Linked DNA regions of Struthio camelus. The protein of the gene in region 1 interacts with the protein of each later gene in a biochemical or structural test. Links are inferred from orthologs where the notes say so. Each region holds a gene or a part of one and is shown on either strand. Other genes may lie near its edges.

Region 1 (7,209 bases):
GGGACCAGCGTCCGAGGACATGGCTCAGAGGGGGCTTGGCTCGGCCGGGGTCTTGGCACAGGGACGCCTGCAACGCCAGCCAGTCGCCCCAGTGCCTTCACATTCCCCCCTCCGCACTCCTGCTCTGCCAGGGACCCACTGACCGCCACGCACCAGGGACCCATCACAGCGCGTCGCCAGTGTCAGAAAAGCGACGGCAGCGCAGGGCAGGTGCTTGAATTCTCTGGGGAGGAGGCGAGAGCCCATGAAGGTGATGCCAAGCATCCTTCCACGGGGCACCACAGCCCCACGGCCAGGTGACAGCTCCTGCGAGCCCATTTCTCCCCTGCATCTCCCCGTTTCTGAAAAGACACAGCGCTTCTACATCCTCCCAGCCCTTGCGTTCACCCTTTCAAACAGCAGCTGAGGGGGAAGGCAACGGGGACACTTTTATTTTCCCAGCCCGACTGCCGGTTTCCTCCAACCAGGGACTTTCTGAGAATAACTGGGCAGCAGTGCAGGCGCCCTTTGCCGTCCCCGCTCGTCCAGCCCGCACCTGCCTGCCCGTGTCTGCGGATTAGCTTCCCCTCTGACAGCCCGGGGAACTCGCAGCCAAGTTTTGTAACCCGGGAACAAAATGCAAAGCCTGCCGCAAGGAGGGGGAAAAAAAAGCCCTTCACAAACAAACAAACCGGGGCTAGAGCTGTGCCCCTCCGAGTGTCAGTCCTCTTTGAAACAAAATAAAAAATCCCCTCCCCTCCCGCCTCCTCGGGTTCCCTGTCACTTGGGACCTGAAGTTAAAGGAATTCAACAGTTTAAAGGTTGGAGGAAGCTTTGGCCAGAGTTTGAACAAAAGGATGGTCCGTGATTTTAGCAGCATTTCACCCAACTTTCCAGTACCATGTTCCTGAGTCCCACCGTCACAGTCTCACATTCTGGGCAAATAGTCCATTTATTTCTATTCTTATTTCAGATGAACGTCCTACAGCACTTGGCAAAAAGCATTCGTTGTTTCTGGGCGTTGTTTAAACTGTCCCAGTGAGAGCAATAGCTGCAGATCTGACATGGCCTTTCCGAGCCGTGCTCAGACCATGCAGCCCTGGTCCTAGCATCCCTTTTAGGAGCTTGTTCATAGGGTGGCATCTCTGCACAGTTTCCTGGGCTGGACAACAGAGGCTACTGCCCAAGGCTGCATAACTGGCCGAGGAGGGGTCCTACGGGCCACCAGTCTGCTGGGAGGCTTGGTTGTGACAAAGGAACTGGGAAGACTTTAAGGTAGGCAACATCACCTGGGGTTTGCCATGAAGTGCAATCACTGGGGTGGGCAGAGGGCACCCGCAGCCGGCAGGAGCCTCCCCACAGGCAGGGGCTCCTGTCCGCCCTGCAGAGGGTTTCCTGCACCAGCAGCCTGGTTATTAACACTAAGTCCATGAGGTAGTTCAACAGCCACCACAGTCAAGAAGTTCCTCCTGGGTTGAGCTTTCTGCACAGCCTTAAAACCTCCCCACTCAACGAATGAAGATTGCGCCTCTACACAAGTATGTGCTACAGTACTTCTGACACTCTGCAAACAACTAGCCCGCCCGACCATTCCCAGAGCAACCTTCCACCTGTTCGCACAAGGTTTGCTGAGTTTTAGATTTCTTGCAGCCACCAGATTTTAGATACATTTTAAAAGTGGATCATTATTTTTCTTGGGGGGGGGGTTGTTTTTCCTTAGAGACAGAGAGGGAGAGAGAGAGAGAAAGGCTCATTTTTGTAACCAAGGTGTGCCACACCAGAGCCCATCACGTCTCAAAGCTACCCACTAGGCACAGTACCTTTGCAGTGCAAAAAGTCCTCTGGGTTAGGGAAGGAGCCTTCTTCACAGAGCAACTCACAGGTTTTATCCGATGCCAGGGGATAGCTGTTCTCCTCCTCATTGTAGTCACTCCTGCCGTTGCTGTTGGAGTACCCATTGGCATACATCTTCAGGGCAGACCTGCGGAGGCACAGGAGCTCCTGGAAGGCATACCTGAAGTCCGGGCTCCGGCAGTAGATCAAAGGGTTGAAGGCAGAATTGACATAGCCCAGCCAGTTCAAGAGAATGTACACGTACTTGGGTATGATGTCGTCCTGGATGACGTGCACAATGTTGACGATAAAGAAGGGCAGCCAACACAGTGTGAAGGTGCCCATGATGATGCCCAGGGTCTTGAGGGCCTTGTGCTCCTTCAAGTAGAACTTGGAGGAACGGCGGTGCCCAGTTCGCCCGTTCTGCTCCTGCTCCTTGTTCTGGATGTGAAACCTCCCCTCGCTCTTGTCTATCTTCTGCAGCTGCTTCTTGGCCACCAGGAAGACCCTGGCATACACGAAGACCATGACCACGAGTGGCAGGTAGAAAGAGATGATGGAGGAGGCAATGGCGTAAGCCTGGTTGGTGAAGAAGTCGCAGCATGTGTCCTCCTTGTAGCACAGAATGGCTTCCTCACGCTCTGCCCGGTACCAATGCATCTGGATGGGCAAGAAGGAGGTGAGGGCAGAGACTACCCACACCACCAGGATGACCACGCGTGCCTTGCTCTTGGTCAGCAGGCTCTGGTACTTGAAGGGAGAGGTGATGGCGAAGTACCGGTCCACGGCGATGACACAGAGGGTCTCGATGCTGGCTGTGACACAGAGCACATCCAGAGAAGTCCAGAACTCACACCAGAAGTTCCCGAAATTCCACATCTCCATGATGATGTGGCTGGCCCCGAAGGGCACCACGGCCAGACCCATCACCAGGTCGGCGCAGGCCAGCGAGGTGATGAAGTAGTTAGTGACGGTCTGCAGGCGCTGGAACCGGGCGATGGCGGTGATCACCAGCACGTTGCCGAAGACGATGGCCAGCACGATCACGGACATGAGGATCCCCATGCCCACCATCCACACGTCCCGCGACAGCGTGGGGTCGGCGGCGGCGCTCTGGTTGGCGCTGGCGTTGCCGCCGGGCAGCGCGGCGCCCACCGCCCCCATGGCCCCCCGCGCCGCCGCCCGCGGGGCTCGGCGAGGCGCCCGCGCCTAGGGCTGCGTCGCGGCGGCGCTGCGCCGGGCGCCGCGCATACGGCGCGGCAGGTGCGGGCGGGCTGGACGCGGGCAGGGGCACCGGGCTGCGCGGCTGGGCGCGCTCCGCTCCGCTCCGCTCCGCTCCGCTCTCGCCCGTCCCGTCCCGTCCCGCGGCGGCGCCGCGCCCGGCCCCGACTGCCCCCAGCCCGTTAGGCGCCGCGGAGCTTATAGCAACACCCCGCCGTGACATCAGGACAGCGACAGCCAATGGCGGCGGCCGCCGCGCCTCTTCCCCCCCCCCCCGGCGGTGTCCCCGCGCCCCACGCGCGTCCCCCCTCGGCGGTGTCCCCGCGCCCCACGCACGCTCCCCGCCCCGCAGTGCCCCCGTGCCCCACGCGCGTCCCCGCCCCGCCGTGGCTCGGCGCCCCACGCGCATCTGCACCCCGTGGTGGCCCCGCGACTGAGTGCCATGCCCCAAGGTGTCCCTGCACTCCCACGCACACTCCCCGCCCTGCAGTGGCCCCACGCCCCATGCACATCCCCTACCCGCGGTGTCCCCACAACCAAGCGCTCCCTGCCCCAAAGTGTCCCCGTGCCCCACGCACATTCCTGCCTCATGGTGTCCCCATGACCGAGGGCTCCCCAGCCTGTGGTGTCCCCCCGCCACGCATGCGCCCCCATTCCATGGTGCCCGCACAACTCATGCACTCCCCGCTTTACAGGGTTTTCACACCCCCCTCCCCATGTACACTACCACCCTAAGCATGCCCCTCTGCCCCACGCATCACCCCATCCCATGGTGTCACCTGCCCCACACATGTCCCCCCACTCCATGCATGCTCCCTGGCCTCCAGTGTCCATATGCCCCATGCATGCTCCCCGCCCTACGTTGTTCTCACGCTCCACACGTGCCCCTGACCTGCGGTGTCCCCACACTCCCACACCCCACGCACATCTCTGCCCCACATCATGGTGTCCACGTGCCCCACACATGCTCCCTGCCCTGCGCTGTCCCTGCACCCCATGCACAATCCTGCTCTGCAGTGTCCCTGTGATCCACACGTGCTCCTTGCCCTATGGTGTCCCTGAACCCCTTCCCACATGTGTCCTCAACCCACCACGTTCCATGTGCCCCCATCCCCCACTCACTCCCCACCACAGTATATCTGCTGCTGCTCTCAGAGAGACTTTGTGTCTGGTTGGGTGCTGGGATTTGGACTTTCCTGAGAGCTGGGTGACCCTGGGGAGCGCCTGTCCTCACAGGCAACACTTTGAGACAGGGTGTCACCCACGGTCTCCATCCCTCCCAGCCCCCAGCCCAGCACCATTCCTGCGGGGAGCTGGCCACTCCACAGCCCATGGCTGGGGCAGGCACCTGGAAGCTGGCTGGTGGGACTGTGTACTGGGTGCTCGAGGTGCAGCCCAGCCCCTAAAATTGTGGTGGTGGTTGAGCACACGGAGCGCATCCCCTGACAGGGCCAAGCATGCTGGTCGGGGGCTGGAAGGCCACACAACTGCTGCACACTGCAGTCTGCCACACTACCGCCAGACATGCTGGAGACTATCAGTCACAAGTATTTCCCTCCAAAGCAAACAAATTTGCTAAATAAGGACTAAGGAATCCTGCAAAGTCCCTTTTAACCTAAAGGGAGATAACTCCACCACTTGAGTTTCATTTCTGCCTGTGCAGAAACCATCTGGCCTCGTGCTGCCCCCTTGCAGACATACGTAATGCTTCCTGCAGTGCCCAGGGGTCTGCTGGAGATGATAGTGGAGCCTGAAGGCTGTGATTTGCACAGTAATTAAAATTATCCCATGTCAGAGAAAGGGAGAATACAAAGAGTTGCTTTTGCCCAAATTTACCCACGTGCCTTCTGGCCACCAGCTGTACCAAAAGTAACTGCATCTCAGTGCCTCCTTAGGTACCCCGCATTGTCTTTGTGCCTTCCAGAAGCAGATGTTTACGAGTCACCCCAGGCTTGTGCACATAGGACTGTCCCCCACTGCCACTTCAGGATCCAGAAATGCAAACATTGCCTTTATTAATAACAGGCTTGATGGTGGAGGACTCCTGCCTAACCTTCTTTAGCTATTAAAGGGTGAATAATTTTGGATCTCATTTGAAACACATCAACCATCAGAATTTGACAGGGCTTCAGAATTCTGCCTCATTTTTCTTTCTCACTACAAGGAAATGCAAAAGTGCTAAGTGCAAGGCACGGCTTGCAGAGGGGAGCTGCCTGCAGTTGCTGTTTCTCTTGCCCGTGCCAGCACATGGCAGAAGAGCCAGACACCTTGTCTGGTCTGGCCCTGCAAACCACTAGGTGTCCCATGTCATGCATGGACTGCGTGAGCTAAGCCTAGGGCTATTTATAGAGAAGAGCAGGTTGTACACAGAGGAAGTTTTGTAGTTTAAAACAGAGGGGAAAATGAGGTGACAGCACCAGGAAATAAGATGAAAGGCAGTTTCAGTGGTATGAGATTTCTCTCTAGGCAAGGATCTTTCTAAGTATGAGCTTCCAGTACTGCTTCCATATTCCACTTTGGCATCTGCAAGCTTTGGAGTTTTTAACAAAAAGACACATGAAAAAGAGATCTGCAGGATACCTCTTTCTACTGCAAACATGCCAAGCCTTTGGAAACCAGGGGGATTTGGGTGAGTGGAAGACTAGGAAACATTAATGACCTTAAGAAACAATAATGCCCTTAGCTAAATGAGGAGTTTCAACTGACCACTGTTGAGCTAAACAGGGCTATACTTTATATACATCTGAATCAATAGGTACAACTGCAACCCCCTGACATAAGTCATTTGCTCTCCATTGGTCTTCACTAACTTTATGCCAGCTAAGGATCTGATCCCTACATAAATATAAGCTCCTTTAGCACTTGCTTGGTGCAGTATCTCTGGCTCCTGTGCACATAGGTACCCCCACACCCCCTCTGCCCAGTGGCCAGAAGCATTCACCTTGCAGTAGAAATATTGCAAGTAACTGCTGGGGAAGTGGAGCTACAAATCAGATGCAATATTGGGAGAGCAGAGCAGAATGGGGAAGGAAAAGCACTTGTGTTAACTATACATTATATTCAACCCACTTTTCCATCTTCTTTCTTAAGAGCTGATCAGAAAACTCCAGAAGGTGATCATGATAAGTTTCTGCTAATAACCTGGTGAGTGTGCTGTTTTCTGTGGATTATGCTAAAATCTGGGAATATTCAAACAGTAAACCAAAGAGTTTTAAAAAGATTTGGCTTCCTAACAGACAAGCAAATATTCATCCTTGCACGAAGCACTGTTTTGAAAGGAGGAGAAGCAGGTTTGAGAATTCAGTAGGAAACACCAACTCTGGGACAGTCAAAGCTGATCTCTCTGCTTTGGCACAAGCGGTTCAACAAGGGCATCTGGTACATGGAGAAACCCATGCTCCCTGGTAGCATTCCTATATCCTTCTCCAGAACCTGCTTCCAGACTCTGGAAATCTCTGTGGCCCAGGGTGCAGAAATCAGCAAGCCCAGCTGCTATCTAAATATTGTGCCTTTGTTGTGCTTTATTCAAAGAGTCTTGAGCCTCTGTAGTGGTTAAGGGTGTGGTGAAGGAAGTAGAGAAAGGCTGATTTTTCTTCCTAGGTTCTGCAGCTCTTTACTTGCTTGACTAATCTTTGCTCACTTACATGAGGTGTGTCAGGGTAGACCATTGGCACAAGCTGATTTCTGCGCTTGGCTTTGCATGGTCCACATCAAATGGGACTAGTGAACACAGGTTCAAAATAAAGGCAGGATTTGGCCCCACATAAAAATAAATTTCATCACCCACAACTCAACTGTATTGCTTTTGAGATTTTCATGCCCATATCTGTGCTTTGGAGTGGTTATTAGCTTTGAAGTATGTTTGAGGTTTCTTATTTAAACAAACGTAATACCAAATCTCCAAAGAAAGGTTAGGAAAAGAGTTAAGTTTGCATTTCCTATATTGGTTGCCTGAAGTGCAAGGACTCTGCTTACTCCAGAATGCCTCCTTCTGGTCCTCTGGCTTGGAGGGTGTCAAAACAAGGCACATCTCATTTGTCTCATGCAGCACATTGCTGCCACTGACCCCGCTGCTTTGTCATCACGCTAATCTTTTCTCCTTTCATAATTGGATGTGTGCTCCCTCCTTGCTGGGTGACATTTGAAGAATGGCCTGTGGGATCAATGAGAAAGGCA
Region 2 (7,735 bases), on another chromosome or scaffold:
CCCAAGCCCCCTGGGCCCCCCAGCTCACCGATCTTCTGCGCAAAGATCTTGTCGAAGGTCACCTCCCCCCGGTCCTCCAGGTACTTCTGCATGACGCTGCGGATGCTGGGGAGACGCCAGATGGGCTCAGTCCTGCCCCCACCCCAGGCCCCTGCTGCGTCTCCCGTGCCCCCGTCCCCCCAGGGCATCTCCCACGGCTCCAGGGGCAGGATACATCCCCTCGCCGGCCACCCCACCTGCACGCTTGTCCCCAGGGACCCCGGTGCACCTGACCCCTGTTCTGTCCCCGCCATGACACCCTGCTGGGCCTTGGTAAGGGGTAGCCACAGGGTGCCCCACGCAGGGAGGGCCAGGGAAGAGGGGCCCAGGCATCCGAGGGCCCAGCAGAGGCCCCCTCCACCTCCCCAGGGAAACTGAGGCAGGCAGGGCTGCAGGGTGGGAGCTGAACGCCAGGCACGGGCGCCACGGTCGGCCCAGGACACCCGGGTCTGCGAACGCCGGAGGGAAAGCGGGGCCCAGCAGCGGGAGCGTGGCGGGCTGGGACATTGGGCTGCCACGCACAGCAGGCTGTGCACTGTGCTGCGCGGGATGCGTGCGCCCGACGCCCCGCACGCTGGGCTTTGCTGCCGGCCGGGCCGTGCATGTGGCGCGCGCCAGGCTGTGCATGGCTGTGTGCGCCTGCCCGGCTGGGCGCCGGTGCCTGGGCAGGCCGGGCGTGAGAAGGGAAGTTGCAAAGCGGGTTGTGTGGGCAGAAGTGGGGTGTGTGTGTGTGTGAGATCGACACGCGTGCGGGGGCGGTGTGCACAGCAGAGAGCATCACAACTCTGCGTGCGTGTGAAGGACAGGGGGCTGGGGAAGTGTTTCAGCAGAACCAACGTGTGAGTCTGCACGTGCACCGGCTGTGCACTCTGTGTGTGTGTGTGTGCAAGTGTGTATGTGCATGCATGTGTGTGCAGCCCAGCCCTGGTGCACTCTGCACAGGTGTGCACGTGTGTGTGCATGTGCACAAGTACATGCTTGTTCAGGAGATGCAAGGCTCCAGGACTGTATGCGTGCGTCCAGGCGCTGCAGTTTGCATGTCTGGCCAGGGACACGTGTGTTGGGACAGTGTGTTTGGGTGTATGAGCAAGAGGGGCATGCACACGCATGCACGGCTGAGTGACATTGCACATGCACATGCACATGTGTTTTTGTGTGCAAGAGGTGAGTGTGCTTATGTGGATGTGCCCGGAAGGAGGCAGGGTGTGTGCACGTGTGCAGAAGGTGTGAGCGTGGGTGTGCTTACACGCGTGCAGGTGTGCTCAGGTGGTGCTTGTGTGGGAGCACAGGTGTGAGCACACGCATGTGCGTGCCCCCAGCTGCACCTGTGTGTGTACACATGTGCGTGCCTGGGAGGATGCGTACCAGAGAGGTGTGTCTGTGTGTGCGCAGGAGAGGTGTGTACCCGGAAGGATGCATACCGGAGAGGTGCGTCTGTGTGTGCACAGGAGAGGTGTGTACCCAGAAGATGTGTACCAGAGAGGTGTGCCAGCATGCGCGCCTGTGCGGGCGCGCGGACGGTGCAGCCGTGCCCGTGCACGGCGAGGACAGAAAGGGGAACTGCAGGAGCAGGAAAGTCTGGGGGCCAGACAGGCTGCGGCAGCGCAGACCGGCGCCCCGCGCCCCGTCTCCCTCGCCCCACCGGCGCTGGGCCCCGCTCGCACGTACCGCGCCAAGCTCAGGCTTGCACATGCCGCACTGAGCTCGCACACACCAGGACACCCTTGCACATGCTGTGACACCCTCGCATGAGGAGCCCTGCTTGCACAATGCCAGCGTGTGCTCTGCCACACTCGTGTGTGCCTTGCTGCCCTGGTGCATACTGTCCCCGCGCGCTGGGCTCTGCTTGCATGTGCCAGGCCATGCTTGCACGCGCTGCGCCACACTTGCACACGCTGCAGCCTGCTTGCATGCGCCAGGCCCTGCCTGCACAGGCTGCGCTTGCAGGGGTGGCATGCTGCCTGCACACCCTGTGCCACACTTGCACGTGCCAGGCCCTGCTTGTGCACACTGTGCACTGTCTGCTTGGGCCAGCCCCGCTTGCCCATGCCACACGCCTTCTGCGCTGGGCCGCACTTGTGCAGGCCAGCCCTGCTTGCATGCACCAGGGCACGCTTGCAGGCCAGGTCACCTTACACACACCAGGGCCACAGTTGCAGGCCAGCTCTGCTTGCATACACCAGGGCACGCGTGCATGCACTAGGGCACGCGTGCATGCACCAGAGCACGCTTACAGGCCAGGCCAGCTTACACGCACCAGGGCACTCTTGCACACACCAGGGCACGCTTGCAAGCCAGCCCTGCCTGGGCACGCCAGGACACTTGCACACGCCAGCTGCGCTTGCACAGGCCGGGGCACACTTGCCCACCAGCCCTGCTTGCCCACCAGTCCTGATTGCACACGCCAGGGCACTCTTGCGTGCACCAGGGCACTCTTGCAGGCCAGCCCTGCTTGCACATGCCAGGGCACTCTTGTGCGCACCAGGGCACGCTTGCCCACCAGCCCTGCCTGCACACACCAGGGCACTCTTGCAGGCCAGCCCTGCCTGCACACGCCAGGGCACTCTTGCACGCACCAGGGCACTCTTGCCCACCAGAACTGCCTGCACACGCCAGGGCACTCTTGCACGCACCAGGGCACTCTTGCCCACCAGCCCTGCCTGCACACGCCAGGGCACTCTTGCACACGCAGCTGCACTTGCACAGGCCGGGGCGCGCCTGCCCACCAGCCCCGCTTGCCCGCGCCAGGGCAGGCCGGCGCCCGGGCCCCGCTGGCACCTGCCCGCCCTGCTCGGACGCGCGTGGGGCGCCCCGGCCGCGCCGGGCCCGGTGGCCTCACCTGGGCTCGGGCAGCAGGATCTTCTTGCTGGCGCGGGCGGCCGGCGTGGCCTTGCTCTTCTCCATGGCCATCAGGTAGCTCACGTCGGCCAGCACCGCCTCCAGGTCCGCCATCTTGCCGCGGCCCCCGCCCCGCCGCCGCCGCCGCCGACCCGGCCCGGCCCCGCGGGCGGCCTGGCCCGGCCCGGCTCGGCCCGGCCCTGGCGGCGGGCGGGGGGCGGCCCGGGGCGGCGGGGCGGCGCGGCCCTCAGCGGCGAGGCCCCCGGCGGCGGCGGCGGCGGCCCTGGGCGGCCCTCAGCGGCGCGGGGCCATGGCGGGGCGGGCGGCTGCGAGCGCGAGTGTGAGTGTGAGTGAGCGCGAGCGAGTGTGAGTGAGCGCGAGCGCGGTGCGTGAGCGCGCCGGCGGGCCGGGTGCCGGTGCGGCGGCGCGGGCGGCAGGCGGGGCCCGGGGCGGCCCTGCCCCGCCGCCGCCGCCTTCCGCCTTCCGCCTTCCGCCGCCTTCCGCCGCCGCCGCCGCCCGGGACCGCGGGAGGGAGCGGGGGGGCGGGGGGGGACGGACAGCGGGGGCGCGTGTGCGTGTGAGTGTGCGTGTGAGTGTGCGTGTGAGTGTGCGTGTGTGAGAGTGCGAGAGAATGTGTGTGTGAGACTGAGTGTGTGTGAGAGAGTTTGAGTGTGAGAGTGTGTGAGTGTGTGTGAGAGTGAGAGAGTGTGAGTGTGTGAGTGTGCGTGTGAGTGTGTGTGTGTGAGAGTGTGAGAGAATGTGTGTGTGAGACTGTGTGTGTGAGAGTGTGAGTGTGTGTGAGAGTGTGAGTGTGAGAGAGTGTGAGTGTGAGAGAGTGTGAGAGTGAGTGTGTGTGAGAGAGTGTGAGTGTGAGAGTGTGTGAGTGTGAGTGTGTGTGAGAGAGTGTGAGTGTGAGAGAGTGTGAGTGTGCGTGTGAGTGTGAAAGAGTGTGTGTGAGGGTGTGTGAGTGTGAAAGTGTGTGTGAGAGTGTGTGTGAGTGAGAGTGTGTGTGAGAGTGTGTGAGAGTATGTGTGTGTGTGTGTTAGAGTGCAAGAGAATGTGTGTGTGAGACTGTGAGTGTGAGAGAGTATGTGTGAGTGTGTGTGTGAGAGTTTGTGAGTGTGTGAGACTGTGTGAGAGTATGTGTGTGAGTGTGAGACTGTGAGAGTGTGTGAGAGAGAGTGTGTATGTGAGTGTGTGTGGGTGTGTGTGTGTGAGAGTGTGTGTGTGAGACTGTGTGTGAGAGAGTATGTGTGAGTGTGAGTGTGTGAGAGAGTGTGAGTGTGAGAGTGTGAGTGCGAGAGTGTGTGTGAGACAGTGTGTGTGAGTGTGTGAGATAGTATGTGTGAGTGTGAGACTGTGAGAGTGTGTGAGAGAGAGTGAGTGTGTGTGTGTGAGAGTGTGTGTGTGAGAGTGTGAGTGTGTGAGTGTGTGTGTGTGAGACTGTGTGTGTGTGTGAGAGTTTGTGTGAGTGTGTGTGAGAGTATGTGTGTGAGAGTATGTGTGTGAGTGAGACTGAGTGTGTGTGAGTGTGTGTGTGAGAGTGTGAGTGTGCATGTGAGTGTGAGAGTGTGAGGGTGTGTGAGTGTGAAAGAGTGTGTGTGAGAGTGTGAGTGTGAGAGTGCGTGTGTGTGAGAGTATGTGTGAGTGTGTGTGTGTGAGAGTGCAAGAGAATGTGTGTGTGAGAGTATGTGTGAGTGTGTGTGTGAGAGTATGTGTGAGTGTGTGAGAGAGTATGTGTGAGTGTGAGACTGTGAGAGAGTGTGTGAGAGAGTGTGTGTATGTGAGTGTGAGACTGAGAGTGTGAGAGAGAGTGTGTGTGTGTATGTGAGTGTGTGTGTGTAAGAGAGCGTGCATGAGTGTGTGTGTGTGTGTGTAAGAGAGTGTGTGTGCATGACAGCAGGGGTGTGTGAGTGTGTCAATGTGTGTGTGAGAGACCAGGTGTGTGAGATAGTGTGTGTGTGTGAGACACCGTGTGTATGTGTGTGAATGTGTGTGTGTGTTACTCCAAGGGTGTGTGTGTTTGAGACACCGTGTGAGTGTGTGTGAGAGACGCCGTGTGTGTTTGTGTGTGTTTGTGAGACACCAGGGGTGTGGGGGTTTGTGTGTGAGAGAGTGAGTTTGTGTGACACAACTCACACACTGTGTGTGTCTCTGTGTGTGACACCATGTGAGTGTGTGCGTGACACTTGAGTGTGTGCGTGTGTGTGTGCGAGAGACACCAAGTGTGAGTGAGATGCCATGTGTGTGGTGTGTGTGTGTGAGAGTGACAGCAGGGGTGTGTGCAGGTGTGTGGGGGTGCGTGAGAGAGACCGGGAGAGTGGTGAGAGACACACAGGGGTGAGTGTGCGTGCGTGTGTGTATGTGACAGCACGTGTGACACCGAGACAGCCGCCCTGCACGACCTGTGCCGCCGGCGGGGCCGCCCTGCTCCAGCTCCGCTCCCGGCTTCCTCCCAGCTTTTAAACCGAGCCCAGCTGAGGGGTGGGAATTAAAAAAACAAAACAAAACCCCAAAACCCCTTGTGACAAGCTCATTTCTAGGGAGTTTGGCGCGTGGGGAGGGCCAGAGGTGCCAGGCCACCTCGCAGGCCCGGGCAGCGCGAGGGGCGGCAAAGGCGAAAGCCTGGGCGCAGCCACGCAGGCGGGAGCAATGACGCTGGAGGAGGTTTCGCTTCCTTTTAGCCGGCCTGAGGCAAACCTGGCAGCGGCAGCGCGGCCGCCCCGGCGGGTGGGCTGCTCCCGGGAGGGCTGCGGCGGTGGAAACTGCTGGAGATGGGGCAGAGTCGCCCACCGGACCCTCAGCTCCGCGAAGGCGAGGACCGAGAGAGGCGGGATTCAAGCGCCGTGGATTCGGCGCTCCCCGAAGGTTGCTAGCCTCGGGAATTGGGCGCGGAGGCACGCCGGCTCCCTCCAACAGGATGCTTTTCTGGAGAAGGACGAGACCCCCGGGCAGGAGGAGGGTCCCCGGAGGAGGTCGGGGCGGCGCTGGCGCGCTGAGGATCGGCTACAATACGTATCATAGCCAAATGGGCAAGTTGGGGCTGGTGGTTTGAGCCCGAGAGGAGACCCCCCGGTTGTGCGGGAGGAGCAGCCGGGCTGCCTCCAGCAGCGTTTTACGTGCCTCGGTTTGAAACGACGCGTGGAAGCAAAATGCCTTTGTATATCAAAAAGGAGGGGAACGACCCAGCTGCCCCCAAAGCAGGCTCGAAAGGGTTTGAAGGGTGACGGGAGACAGCAGCAGCAAGAGAAACCCGAGGCAAAGGCAAGGGGGCATCCCGCTACGGTGCAGTCGCAGCGCGAGCTCTTCCAGCCCGCAAGCTGGTCCGGGACGTCCCCAGCAGTCGAATGGGGGCACCGTCGGCAGCCGGGAAGGCAGGAAGTGCCTTTGCTTTGCCAGTTTGACCGTGCGTTTCGGGATAAACCCCTGCTCCAAGCAGGGCCGGTTACAGAGCTGTGCCAGCTGTGGTGCAAGGCGCTGGCAGGGCCAGCCCCAGCTGCCAAGCAAACGCGAGCGGGTGCTCGCGGCCGCATGCAGCACCAGGACGCGGCTCGACCCGCCGCCAGGGCGGGGGGCGAGCGGCCGCAGGGGACCGTTCCCCGCCGCCGCCGTCGGGTTCCCGCACGGGAGCCCGGGCGTGTGACTAAGCCCCGCGCTTCCTCTCCACCCAGCTCGGCGCGGCAGAGGAAGCCCCAGGGCCGGGCGGCCGCAGAAGCTGCGGCCTCTCAGCCCAGCCCAGCCCAGGCCTCGGCCTCTCCGCTCCCCTCTGACTCGCAGACAAACAACGGGCAGAACCGAGACGCAGGGTTATTTTTTTTTCTTTAAATTTTTATTCCAAAAATCCACCCCCAAGAAACAAAATATTTCCCTTCAGAGGCTGGTATCTTCCCTCCCCTCCCCCCCCAACATCTCTTCCATCCCTGTGGTAATCTGTTATGAGCAAAGATCCTCTCTAAAACCAGTATCGGAGAATGCTTAAAAAAGAAAAAAGAAAAATAAAACAAAAAAAAGCCAACTAGCTCCCCTCCCTCTGCCCTCAGACAAGAAACCCCCCAACCCAAACCATACCGACTGAGAGAGCGTAAGACTTGGTTTGCTTTTACCCTTAATGCTTACATTTAATTTTAAAGCACAAACATCAGAGATGGACTCTAAATCGCCAACAAAAAATATATATTTACAATATTTCTCCGGGGGGGAGGGAGGGGGGGAATCGAAACGAAACAAAAACACAACCAAACCCTTAAACAATAGTGACTTCTGTTGCAGGAGTTGTCTTTAGGGAGCAGTCTGGGTTGTTTTTAAATCACTAAGTGATTTTTATATATATATAATTCTTTTTTATCTTCTTCTTTCCTTGTGAATTTTCACCCCTCGCCCACCAAGGGGGCTGGGGTGGCCAGTTAGGTGACAAGGGTCGCACCTTGATTTCGAGTCTCTGAAGCCCCAAAGGGGGGGGTGGGGGGGGATGGCTGCCCCGGGCACCCTGCCCCTCCCCGGCTCAGCTCGCCTCGTCTGCCTCCCCGTGCTGCCCCAGAGTGGGGGGCTGCTTTCGCTCGGCCCCGAATGCGCGTGTAAATAGAGACGCTCGCTTTCCTGGCGGAGGAAGCCCAACGCCCGCCCAGCCTGGGAAGCCCCAGGGCTGGCCCAGGCCCCCAAGCCAGCTGCCCTCCCAGCTCCCGCTAAGTTTTGCCCCAACCTTTCTTCTTTCTTGTCGTGAAACTCAAAATCAATCCAAAGGAGAAAAAAAAGAAAAGAAAAAACAAAAACAAAAAATAAAAACAAAAAAAACACCAAAACTTTGATTTTTCGGCTGTTTTTCACAGGAGCCACCACCAAGAGAGACTAAGGCAGGCGG

What was found.
Region 2: the proteins of ADRB2 (region 1) and GRK2 form a complex in vitro, tested with the Homo sapiens proteins (2 studies listed by BioGRID, with this or other methods). The link is inferred for Struthio camelus from reciprocal best matches to the Homo sapiens genes ADRB2 and GRK2.

The regions. Positions count from the first base shown.
Region 1 is NC_090954.1:7,879,320-7,886,528, forward strand, and holds the start of ADRB2 (beta-2 adrenergic receptor), read right to left. Parts: upstream 3,004-7,209; 5' UTR 2,977-3,003; coding exon 1,800-2,976; intron 1-1,799. UniProt on the Homo sapiens protein: Beta-adrenergic receptors mediate the catecholamine-induced activation of adenylate cyclase through the action of G proteins. The beta-2-adrenergic receptor binds epinephrine with an approximately 30-fold greater affinity than it does norepinephrine.
Region 2 is NC_090946.1:3,108,215-3,115,949, reverse strand, and holds the start of GRK2 (beta-adrenergic receptor kinase 1), read right to left. Parts: upstream 3,038-7,735; 5' UTR 2,992-3,037; coding exon 2,879-2,991; intron 106-2,878; coding exon 29-105; intron 1-28. UniProt on the Homo sapiens protein: Specifically phosphorylates the agonist-occupied form of the beta-adrenergic and closely related receptors, probably inducing a desensitization of them. Key regulator of LPAR1 signaling.